2 linked regions of the Neodiprion lecontei genome follow. The protein of the gene in region 1 binds, or shares a complex with, the protein of each later gene. Links are inferred from orthologs where the notes say so. Each region holds a gene or a part of one and is shown on either strand. Other genes may lie near its edges.

Region 1 (6,204 bases):
GAAAGGAATTACCAGAGATGGAAGAGCTTGGTTCAATTCATGTCAATCTGGGAAATGTTTTCATAAAAAAAGGTCTTTACGATGCAGCTAAAAAATCATGTCAGGAAGGCTGGAGATTATCAAAATCTCGGAAAAATAAAGAGTCTTTGGTAGAAGCAAACGATTGCCTGGATGAGATTAACAAACTACTTTCTTCTTAGATTCACATATGTAGCAAGAGTTTTATTAATATTTGTTATCTTGGTGAGTTGACTCTTTGTATTATTTTTTTGTGGCCTCATATTGAACATAATTGTACAGTCCGAGATTATTCAAAAATATGTGTCAAGTTTTTCAACATAGGTTCTAGTAATGAGTATTCTTTGGAACAGCACTATCAATTTTGTTTCAACTCTTTTATTTTAATAACTTTCGGTGCTTAAGTAATTAAGCTTCTACAACGGTTGAGTACTGTAGAAGCTACAAAGTCGATACGAGTTTAAAGTTTATAATGTCAATGCAATAATGTGTTTTTAGGATAAACAAACCGTTTTGTCACTACTTCAGGATTGTTTGAAATTCGGTAAACCATAATCAAGCAACTAGACACTCTGATATTTTGAAAATATAACTACGTATTGAAAAGTCATTTAGAAACTACAAAATAGTGATTTTTTTAAATTTTTCGTTATGTTAACATTACTAAATTCATCCTCGTAAGTTAATTGAATAATTATTAACATTTGGCACCTGATATATTTTTGGTCAGGTGTTTTGTTTTGACCTCAATGACACTCAATAACAGATAATATCAAATGCGCAATTATATGCACTAAAAATGCCACATTACAAGTAAATCATAAAATCTCAAGCACGTTTTACTTAGTTTGTGTACAATATGACTGAGTATTCCTATTTCTAAGTGATTAGTCTGAAATAAGTGTTTGAAAGGTACTTTACTGCAAAAGCATATTTCCAATTTAACGTGCGAATACTGAAACAATGATAGGTTTCATATAATTATTCAACATTAGTATATATTGTAGTTCAACTTTAATGTCGTGTGATGTATGCGTGAATATCCTCAAGTTAATAATGACTATAATAATTATTACAGCAACTGGATTGCACAGGAATTTGTTTTCACATCATAGCTAAATTACGTCTGAATCTACTTATAGTTATATAAAAATAAATTATACACGGTTGAAATCCGCGAGCTTTGCAACTACTCACATCTCTTGATACCGAACAAATCTCAACAATTTTACTCACATAATCTTCAAGAATTGTTCCCGATGTATAGCCATATATAAAAAAATGTGTAAAGTATGAAAAATATCAACAAAGAAAAATAATCTTTCTAGTAATGAAACTACAAAAAATCTTATGTAGCTAAATTATCTAAAAGTACATGCTGCTAGTCGAACAATCATGGTCACTAATTACATTACTCCGTTTACAATTATTAGCAGCTCAAAATGATATCGTGAAAAAAATATTTTCTACAATTTGCAAGAAAATTTTTCACAGATACATGTACTGCACACGGTCACTGTATCAATCACTATTCATTCATACTTTGCTATTTGCACCATTATAAAAACACCGAATAACAAGGCAATAATCTCCTTAATCGACTGCCAAAATTTGGTGTCAGATAAAAGTTCAGGAATTACAGACACAGTCGCAATGTATATGAAGCCACCAGCGGTGAACGGTAATATCCATGAAGTGGCGAAATCACCTGTAATCGCAGAATATCAAAACATCAGTGGCAGACACTTATAAAAATAACAGCTAATCTATCAATCTTAATGAGTTACAAACAAGAATCAGAGCTATGATAAATGTATAAAATTTTTCATTCTTACCCATTCCTTCAGCTAATAAGGACACGCATGTTCCTGTAACAGCTCCCAGCGCAGTGCTTAGCTGGAGCCAAATTGCCTGAAAAATGAACATTGAAATGATTGGAAGATACTTAACAAAATTTCGGGCTTGTATTCAGAACCAATGTGAATGATAAATACAAAGATCACCTTTTTTCTGCTAACTCCACTTTGAATGAGAATGGCAAAGTCTCCAATCTCATGAGGCACCTCATGAAACAGAATAGTTACTGTAGTGGTGATTCCGATTTTGTTACCAGCTAAGTAGCTCGCACCGATAGCGAGTCCGTCTGTAAAATTGTGTGTAAAATCAGCAGCCAAATTCAGATACCCAGCAATCTTGATGTCCTCGATGAGTTCAGTTTTCTTTACCAACGATTGGTTGTCATTGCCATCAGACTTGTCTTTGTCGGAAGCCTTAGTCTGCTTCTTTTCCTTGACAGGAACGGTATGACTATGGGAATGTGAATGATTTCCCTTGACTAAACGCACTCCTTTTTCTATCATAAGGAACGTTATTATTCCCAGTAAAACTGATAAGCCAACAGTCATATCATGCCCATGTTCATGTCCGTGTTCTCCTGGTGGTACATGGCTATGAGCGTGAGAATCGTCATGTGCATGAGAGTGGGGTTCAAGAGCATGTGGAATCAGATGTAAAAATGCATCACCCAGTAAACTCCCAGAGGCAAAGCTCAGGACCATTTTCAGCCAAGGTTCTTTCTCTTTACTGTTGTCCAATGGAACCAGAAACAGAATTAAGAACGGTGCAGCAGAGATCAAGAGGGTTGAACCGACAGCATTTATCCAGAGAGACGCCAAGTCTCGACCCTTAGGAGGGTCAGAGGTTCGAGAGTCTGCGGAAGCGTGGGCGTGATATTTTTCATGGTGGTGCTGGTGGTGATGATGATGATGATGAGGCTCGTGGTGATGATTGAGATCAGCGGATTCGTGAAACTTTTGGTTTGCCGTTTGGCTGTATTTGAAGCTTGGAGGTTCATCGTGTGAATGTCCGTGGCCCCCGCAGAGAGCCGGGAATCCGAAGAAAATTATCAGTATTAAAAGTGCTAGAGCAACTCGCGAAGTAAAGGCACGACTCAGGAACCTTTGTTCCGGTATCACTCGACCCGTCATCTTCGCAAGGCTGTCAGGTTATGAACAATTTTTGTTAATCGGTCATGGAGTATGAATCTATTTTTAACGTAAATGAATGTATGTGTATACACTATATTTTAACTTGAAACTTTAGTCAATGCTAATTTGATACTGTGAAAAATAACGATATGTGTTTATCAGTATTGTAGGCTAGATTCCAGCGCATGGCCAGTTAGCATGCAATATAAACGTGGCTTGTGCACTTCTATTGGCCAGCATTTACACAGCTGCCGGAGTTTGCCGGAGTTGTCATTCGTCGAAAGCGGTGACGTCAATCCGGCTTAAGCGCCTGCAAAGTGAGGCGGAGATCTCTACGAGCTTTCACGTATGTGAAGAAATTACAAGTGAGTCGCATTGCTTTTGGGAAGTAACCCCCGACTTTAGTGAGCCAATAAGATTAAACTTGTCGGCCTGAAAGCGAAAGCGTCTGTTTGTAATGTATTTGGGGCGTTAAAAACAATAAATAACGTTAAAAAAATACCGTATTTACGTTAGGAAAAGGTATTTAGGCTGTAAAAATCGTACGTATATTGAATGGTAGTGAACTTCACCTTTGATCGATCGAGTTTTGTGTGAAAACCGTTCTATTGTTATCCCGACACCCTGCACAACCGAGTTTTGTCAACGGTTTTTATTTATATTGTAGTTGCATGTGTTGAATATTCTATTTGTCAGCATACAAGTACAACATTAAACGTCATTGGAGACGGTAAACGTTGCTGAAAGTGAGAAACCTTCCCTGCATGCGGTCTAAATACTTTTGTACAAAATTATTTTCATCATGTCGCATAGAGGTGGAAATACTTCGAGCACACGATCTTTGAATGCTATTTTCTCGAGTGAGCCTATTAATTTTAATAAAGAAAATGCACCTCCAGTTAAAAAGTAAGTTTTCAGTAATAGATCAATCAATATTTATCGTTCTCAGTCACAAGGATTGTCTAAGTGACCTGACATTATTGTTCACAGAAAGTTCTTCGAAAGCCCTGAGACAACAGATGATTGTGTCTCTCACATTAGAACATCAAGCAATTCACGATTCAAATCAAATCTTATTCGTTCGAAATCTGTAACAATGCTGCAAAAAGAGGAGCCATCACTGTCTGCCAAATCGTCTTCTGAAGAGAGGCTTAAAACTCCAATGAGAATCACATCAAATCCGAGATTATCTGCAGACAGAACTCCTGTCACACATTTTTGCACACCCAAAAGAGTTACCGCTAATGAACGAGGATCCAAAACAAACATATTCTCCATAACAAGTAAAACACCTGTAAAACGTTACTTCAGTAATCATAATCCTCCAGCCGCGACTCCAGATTGCTTTAACCTCGTTCAAATGGAAACCCCAAGAACCCGGCAGGACCTGGGTGCTGATGAGCAGACAATGTGCGAAGGAGAACAGAGTAATCTAACTGTTGGAGTCAGGGTTAGGCCTTTGAATTTCAAGTAAGTATTTCTAACAATCTTTCGTCAAGTGACTAATGTAGAACTGAATTACTTGGCTTTACAGGGAACTGAACGACCAGCGAATAACAGCAATCGTCGAAGCTAATGGTCAAAACATAACTGTGGAGTGCGAATCTTCCAGGCATACATTTATGTATGATCATTGTTTTGTATCTTACGCCGATTCCTGCACGCCACAGCATGCCACCCAAGAGGTGGTGTTCAAGAACATGGTTCTACCACTGGTAGAGAATGCATTTGAGGGTTACAATGCATGTCTGTTTGCCTATGGGCAAACTGGATCTGGGAAAAGTTACAGTATGATGGGTACAGAGACGTGCGGGTCAGAGCTGGGCTCTGAAGCTGGTATAATACCGAGATTTTGTCATGAAATATTTTGCCGATCAATGAGGAACTCCAAAGTTGTAACAACGGTAGAAATTAGCTATTTTGAAATATACAACGAGAAGATTCACGACCTCCTTGGCGTCAATACCAGTGGGGGGAAACGCGCGCCATTGAAAGTCAGGGAACATCCAGTGTTTGGGCCCTATGTCGTAGATCTGAGTCAGCACGGTGTCAATAGTTACGAAGATCTGCAGGTTAGTTGTTTGAAAGAGAATTTAAAAAAAATGTAAATGACAACAATCTATTTCAAACTTGCCACTCTACTTACTTCTCTTTCACAACTTTTGTCCATAATTTTTTCAGGGCTGGCTGAAGGTCGGTAATTCTCAAAGAGCTACAGCTGCGACAGGAATGAATGAAAAGAGTTCGAGGTCCCACAGTATCTTCAGTGTGATTCTAACTCAGACACAAGTAGATGTTCCCTCTGGCAATCAGCCGGCGGAGCCGAGTCGTCGGAGTAAAATTAATCTTGTAGATCTGGCTGGGAGCGAGCGCCTAAGTCAGACGTGTGCCAGTGGAGATAGATTGCGCGTAAGCCTGAAATTTGCAGTCATTTATTTCTTACTGCTAATGCAAAATCTGTTGGTATGAGTAACAATGCTTGATCCTCCCTGAAACCCAAATAAATTGCTTTTGCTCAAGAGGTAGGTAGCAGTACATTAACTTCAGATGAAAATAGGTGTCACACACACTCCTAAATATCCTACAAGTGATAAACAATGAATGACCCCATAGATATTTAATATGTTTTTAAAGAGTCGCGAAATCGTTTGATATGCCAAGTTTTATCACTTGATTGACGAATGTCTTGGGGCACCTTCAAAAAATTATCTAATATATACGTAATATTTCCAACAATTCACATTTTGATGAATATGTATTTTGATGAAGATATTTTTCTTAATTTATTATCTGAACAGGCTTTTGCTTTAGTTACGATTACATACGGCATTGCAATTTTTTTTTTCAATTTGTGAACAACTTGTTCATTATACTCTGTTTGATTACTGTACTTGAACCAATTTTTCCTCCTATCGTTTATAATCTTTCTTGTTGTACTCTTAATTAAAAAAGTTTATTCAACCATCATTACATAATCAAATAATTGCTGGATCGAATTTACAGGAAGGAGTTTCTATTAACAAGTCGCTCCTAACCCTGGGAAAGGTGATTGCATCTTTGGCTGAGAGCACGAACAACAGGAAACGAGGTTTTGTTCCTTACAGAGAATCCGTACTGACGTGGCTGTTGAGGGTGAGTGATAAATCCTTATTATTGTTTGCTTCTGTACTGTGAAAAATTTATTGATATAGCAAAACAT
Region 2 (6,429 bases), on another chromosome or scaffold:
TGTTGAATATAAATTATGAACAAATTTTATGTAATAGATTACGAAAATTGTAAATATTCCTTTTACTTCTGTTATATAAATTTATAGCAATAACCGAAAAACGTACTATATATTCATTCGTGTATCCATTCAATCATTCGCTCACAAAGTACGTAAATTATCGATCAGCAGGTGAAACAGATTAAAATTGGAAATACATATCGTTTTTCTTTCATTAAAATTGTTTCTCGAACTATTCTTTATTCCTTTTTGAATATTCTCTTTTTCTTCATTCATTTTAAAATAGTCTCTTGTATCAATTTATATTTCTTTCATCGAAGTTTTGTCGTTATAATTTCTTGAATTGTTTTGTTAACAATTATTCACTTATCTTTTACTACCAGCTAAGCAGATCAATCGATGGTATCCGTGATCGCGACAGGTTCGTTGAACCGTAGATTCATGTAATTATATTGTTGAAGATACCACACATAGTTGATGTTTTATACATCTCTGATTTGATTATGTAAAACGGAATCTTCGGATTAGTCAATTATTTTACACGTTATCGAAGTTAAATTCTATAGGAAGAAAACGAAAATAAAAGACACGTATTAGGAAAAGCAATTTTGCACGTGGTGCTCTGACGATAGTTTCGCAGTGAGAGGTGTAAATCCAAGAAGGTGGACACCACGTGATGTACAAATAGGTTCAATGTCAACTCACAGTACTTGTTTTGGTTTGAGGTGGGGATATTTGAATCGTTGCAACTTCAAACTGAATTACATAATCAAAACCGGATATAAACAGTATTTTTCTCAAGAATTCAAGGATATTTTTTGCTATTTTAAAAATCATTGGCCCTGTGGTTGTGTTTTTTTAATTTTTTTTTTTTTAAATAAACTTGTCACCACACGCACGCGTCAAAAAGTTTGCAAAGCTGCAAGATTTCATTTCCAGCCGCAAACATTGACGGATAATTCTTTGATACGATTGGCAAAAATAAATTATACTACTACGATTATGCTTCGTATCCGATAGCACGTAATGTGATACAAGATTGTGTCAACGGGCTTTTACGTACGTAGAATACAAACTTACACACACGAGTGAATATCGGGGCCCGTAGAAGTCGGAGCGTTCTGTACCGGGATATATCGAGAAACGAGCAAGCAGACAGCTTTACTGCATGATCATTAATTACCGCTTATCGAACGTCTAACCCGTAACGGTCTCGAGTAAGGGTTTAGCCTAATCCCGAAACGGTGCAAAGTGCGTGTTATATCGTCGTTAGCTCCGGATCCCAAGTAAATATAAAACATCGAATATATACATATATATATATATATATAGATATCTAATTATCACGATCGGAGTTTGGGATGAAGAATATTCCCCGCATCGTCAATTTATATCGCGATTAGAGCCAGTTAAAAATTGTTCTTTCTTTTACTCCGTCGATGAAGAACCGTTTAAGCAGATGGATGCATATCCCCATGCAAATGCCGTTGTAGTGTAAGAAATCTGCGAAATAGTCCAGTGTTTTTAACCGGATTTTGCGAGTATCGATAGGAGCAGAAAAGTCCGCGCAAGCTACGCACATCGGTTGAAGAACATGATAAAAAAAAACGTATTTTTATAAAATTGAATTCGGGTATCCTGACATTTAAATTTCCTGCGACCGGATGTCGCTGATCGTGAGTTCCAATGAAATGATAAATACACCCAGAGACCCAATTCGAGCCCGGGTAACGGGTACAGCTCAAGTGTCTACATCAGAGACACAGAGACGCTGAATCCCTCGCCCGGGGCTCGATCAGAAACTTGATATTCTTTGCAGGCGCAAGCTCTCTTCTCGATCTGATGTGATGCGATGTGATGTGCTGCTACCGACCCGTAGCCCGGCGGTGCAGCGGGGGATGTATTTTCGCGTGAACTGCTTCGTTATATACGGGAAGGTTGTATAAGGCAAGGCGAGGAAAGGCAAGGAAAGGCAAGGCACACACGGCGCGCGAGCAAAGGAGCCGTCACGGTTAGTTAGACTTTGCAGTTTGCAATCGAGGCCGCCGCGCGATTCCCCGACTCCCGCTAATTTTCTCCTATTTCGATTTTTCCCTCTTTATTTCCCTCATCGAAGAATGGCTTTCCTCGGTGCGTCGGTAACGCGCGTTCTACGTATAGAGGAGCGCACCACACGTGCAAGAGCTTTGGCTCGGTGCAAATTGGAAAGTCTTTACTCCAAGCCTTGCAGCGGGTAATTATAAATAGGCTGGGAGTCCGAGAGGCCCGCAGCGCAAGCAGCGGCGAGAGATGTTTCAGGAATATCGACGACGTAATTACGCATAATTACCGCTCCGGAGCCTCTGGAGGGCACACAAGACAGGCAGGTAAGCCCGGCCGCCTCTTATTCTTATTCTCATTCTCATTCTCGCTATTTCTCTCCTGCTCTTTCTCCGCGGATACATACATCCGTAACCTCACGCAGGGCGTAGGACGCGCCGCGTCGGGGAACCGGTGGTTGGCCTTGTACGATAATTGTACTAATTATTACCGGCGTGCCTCCTTCCCTCCCCCCCCCGCCCCCCCATTCCACCTTCCACCTTCCAACTTCCACCTTCCCGCCGGCTCCTCGCCGTTCGCAAATCCTCGCCTCTTTTAAAATCGAATCTTTTCCTCCAACAACCGCTGCACGCGCGCCCTCGACTCTTTCGGACATTGTTATTATTCTTACTCCTTTTTTGTTCTCCTTCTATTTTATCGTTTTTTTCTCTCAAACATCTCTCGTTCCCCACGGCCACAGCGAATTCGACGTCTCGTTCGCACGCGGTCGAATTCGGAAATCGAGCCGCCGAAATTATCCTTTCCCCGAGAAACACCCGACAAATCGAGCGCGAATAATTCAACTCATTGTGTTCGAAATTCAAACATTTGGATTACAGGAGCGCGCCTGCGGCCCTGTGACAGTTGACGCAGGACGCTGTGAACGAACACACACGCACGCTCACGCACACATTCGATCGACCCTATCTCACACCTAGTCGAACCACTCGGTTCTACGAGGAAAGCGCGGGGCTGCGCGCGCACGCGCAGACGGACGGGAATTTCCGAAGCTTTGCGATCGTTCCTCCGTAAGAACGGGGCATCTTAAAATTCCGAGGTTACTCGGTTCGCTCGGTTTTGACTCCTCACCTGGGTTTTGTCGTAGACGCGAAGTCGCTCGTCCGCCTTCTGCTTGTCGTATATCATCCGCGCGATTCCGCCCCGGGGTCGGTAACTCTTCATGACTGCGCCGCTTCCTCGGTCCGATGACAACGCGGCTGTGGGTCCTTGGGCGGCTGCCAAGGCTAGTAGAATCGCGTAAATGTGTCCCATTCGCGGGGTGGCTCCGTACTGACACTGTCCACGCGCCCTCTGCACCTGGCCATCCTGGCCGCGACTTGGCTTATCCGGATTTATCTAAATACCGAAGGACACGGGCCGGATCCGCGTTCTATCACTCTACGGAAGACCGTTCTCCTCGTCGGCACGTGGCCATGTTGACAGATTAACCGCCATCTCACGCTGTAGCCTGCACCCACAGCGCCGCGGCGATTTATGCTCCGTCGGTAATCCAGGGGTCCGGTGCATTACCGACCGCTGTAGGATTCCCGAGTTTGAATCACGCGCGGCACCGACACGATGTTACTCGCTTTGTATTCCCGTTTTTGCACCTTTGTGAAGACGGATCGAGCTATCGTGTCGTTGTTTGAGGTTTTGAGAAGCCGTTTACAAGGAGAAAGTCGCGTTTTTTATACTTGTCCCGAAATTTCATTGCGACATTAATTGTAAGGTAAACCTTAAGGGCCCAATTAGATACTTGGTCGTACTTACAGATACGAGCTGGGAAATGTTATGAGATACGCTAAGATTAGTGGTGTTAAAATGGGTAAAACAAGAATATTTTCGCCGCAAGTTTTTCTTGTATCGAAATTGTATGTAATAATTGTAATTGAACACTGACTCAAGAGGCAGTGGTGCGAGAAAATTAAAGAACCGATCTGAAAATCGATCAATTATATTTATATCTCCGATTTTGCGAATCGATATATTGGATGGAAATAGCATCGGTTCCTCATAATCGACAAAACATTTAACTGAAACAAACGAGCTATTTATTGACAGCGTTAATACTATTATTCAGTGTACCATTGTTGGCAACAAATAAACGTTATTTTGAAGTATTCTACTACTTTTTCCACGTAATCAGAAAATGATGATAGCAAATGACTTTGTTTCATGAATTACGAGAAAATAACATTACATTTTTACAGGAAATTGTTCTTAAATGACTCCCATCGTCATAACTAATCGATTCGTATAGAAAAAGAATCGATTCGATAATAATCGAATTTCTGAAAACTCGAATAATAATCGATTAATCTAACGCCACAATAATCGATACCTTAAGATCATCAAATAATTTTGCATCACTATTAAAAAGTCGAGGAACAGTCTTGCGTTTCTCAAAGTAGGCATACCTCTAACTACGCAGTACATATATTGAATTCCATCATAATTTTTCTTGAGGTGTTTTCAAGCGGTCCATTAATATTTTTCAACGAGGTCATCAGCCAAGGTACGACGTCTGCTCCCGTGCAACGCGTCGCCTCCCCTTTAACCGAAATCCCGAGGGAGCGTGCCGCGGACGAGGGAGAAAGTTTTATGCTTTCCTTATTGCAGTTCACGGTAGCCGGAAAAATTTTTCCATTTTTACTCGTTCTTTTTTCCCGACTCGCGTGCGATGCGAGGCCATTAAATTTTTTTCAATTCATCGTCTGTACTTTTTAACCCCCAATTTTCCTCCTCGCATTACCGATAATAGCTAGGATTGAGGATAATCAAACCACGTTGGATCTCACAAAACTTTCTATGTAGAATACAGTTTGTTTTCACTCGATATTTCTCTTGTCAGTGAATTAACGGACAAAATGAGCCGTTTCGTCAATCAAGGACACTGAGAAAAAAGTTTATTATTCACTGTTGAAAAACGTATGCTTGGATACGAGGAAACAAATGTTTCGTTATTATTATCAAATTTCAGTCGAGCCAAATAATGATCGATAGAAACTTGTTAATGGTTTAAAAATCATACTTGGCTCGACTAAAATTTGATGATAATAACTAAACGTTTATTTCGCCATATCCAAATATACGTTTGGTGAAACAAAATAAATTGTTTTCTCAGTGGAGATTCGAAAAGTGGCGCGAAACTAAGAGAGGTTCGTTCGAAACAAGGGCGTTAGGCCTCGGCGATGTTGTTTTGGCTAGAGGGGTCCTCTCGCCTTGGGGACGGGGACAAGCTGCGCTTTGGTAATTAACGGCTTGGCCCGCGTGAAATTGGCCAACAATGGGCGAGGGGATGGCGTCTACTGTTTCAGTCGGCGTCTTGGGCGTCGTTCGAAAATAAGAGCATGCAACGAGCGTAGACATACGCCCGAACGTCATTCGAGAGGCAGTTAAATGTACCGGGTGGCGTAAAGGCCGCCAGGTACGTGCGCACGACGCGTGTGGGTTATGTAGAACCTGCGGCGACTCCGAGAAATAAGTGAGTATTATATTCTGGATTCTACCGCGTGCGGGTTAATTTACGGACGACCTTGATTCGCCCCCTCCATTGCGCTCCGAAAGAGACGAGGGAGAGAGAGCGAAAGGAGAGAGGGTGAGGAGGGACGAGGAGGTGAAGGAACGCTTCCGAGGTGAAGTGTACGAAGTACTTCCCCTTGGCTTCAGACGTGGACTAAAAAACAACTTCTCATAATTACTCAAGAATGCTGCGTAATTACTCAGAAATTCGATCGTAATTTCTCCATAGGTATAGGCTTTTTCGGCGGTCGGTCAGTTGGTATTACGTAGGTAGGTATAGGCGCGTGAGAAATTATACTGGGAAATTCTCACGCACCAATTATGCGTTCGGAGGATGAAACAAAAAAGATTTTAAAAAATCACGTCTTAGTTATATTCATCGGAGAAGCGAATCATGCGATTTACTACAGGAATTTTCTCGGCATCTTACCTACTCGTTACTTCTTGTCAGAGATTTTGTTTCTTTTCTCCTATCATCGCGAAGAATAAAATTGTTAGAATTTACGTGAGCGTAGTGTTTATTTTGTCAACCGTGTAAGATTTTTTGCGGTTACCACGGGTTTTCGATGAAGCTCTAGAAGCACCTTGAATAATGGTGCACTTTGTCATATTTTGTGACCGACGTTTGGCGTTCCTACGTTTGAGAAGCGATGAGGAAGAATTTGGCGAAAATGTAATGGGGAAGAAATGAGATTCGTTAATTTCAAGCCTGCACCCTCGAATTAACGGTCAAAGATGGCAATAACTGAAACGTGCCATGTAGCGGCAATTTAGGGTTATCGTTTGTTTATTTCCGGGTGCAACGAAGGATGTAATAAAAATGAGCGA

Evidence for each region.
Region 2: the proteins of protein catecholamines up (region 1) and protein-L-histidine N-pros-methyltransferase are in contact, whole or in part, in a crystal structure (PDB 8GZE), measured with the Homo sapiens proteins. The link is inferred for Neodiprion lecontei from reciprocal best matches to the Homo sapiens genes SLC39A7 and METTL9. Residues at the interface, in NP_001070984.1 of Homo sapiens: Gly65, His66, Thr67, His68, Glu69; in NP_057109.3 of Homo sapiens: Arg114, Thr115, Asn118, Arg123, Gly124, Met126, Met179, Asn210, Asp213, Arg214, Val241, His245, Tyr247, Glu249, Trp255, Tyr295, Leu296, Cys297, Glu298, Asp300, Tyr306, Val307, Leu308.

The regions. Positions count from the first base shown.
Region 1 is NC_060261.1:35,214,453-35,220,656, forward strand, and holds protein catecholamines up, read right to left. Parts: upstream 3,190-6,204; 5' UTR 3,006-3,189; coding exon 2,022-3,005; intron 1,930-2,021; coding exon 1,854-1,929; intron 1,727-1,853; coding exon 1,551-1,726; 3' UTR 1,016-1,550; downstream 1-1,015. Other genes in the region: tetratricopeptide repeat protein 19 homolog, mitochondrial, read left to right, coding at 1-200; kinesin-like protein KIF14, read left to right, coding at 3,808-3,911, 3,996-4,475, 4,540-5,077, 5,187-5,414, 6,009-6,137. UniProt on the Homo sapiens protein: Transports Zn(2+) from the endoplasmic reticulum (ER)/Golgi apparatus to the cytosol, playing an essential role in the regulation of cytosolic zinc levels.
Region 2 is NC_060262.1:21,743,105-21,749,533, reverse strand, and holds the start of protein-L-histidine N-pros-methyltransferase, read right to left. Parts: upstream 3,529-6,429; 5' UTR 3,352-3,528; coding exon 3,169-3,351; intron 1-3,168. UniProt on the Homo sapiens protein: Protein-histidine N-methyltransferase that specifically catalyzes 1-methylhistidine (pros-methylhistidine) methylation of target proteins.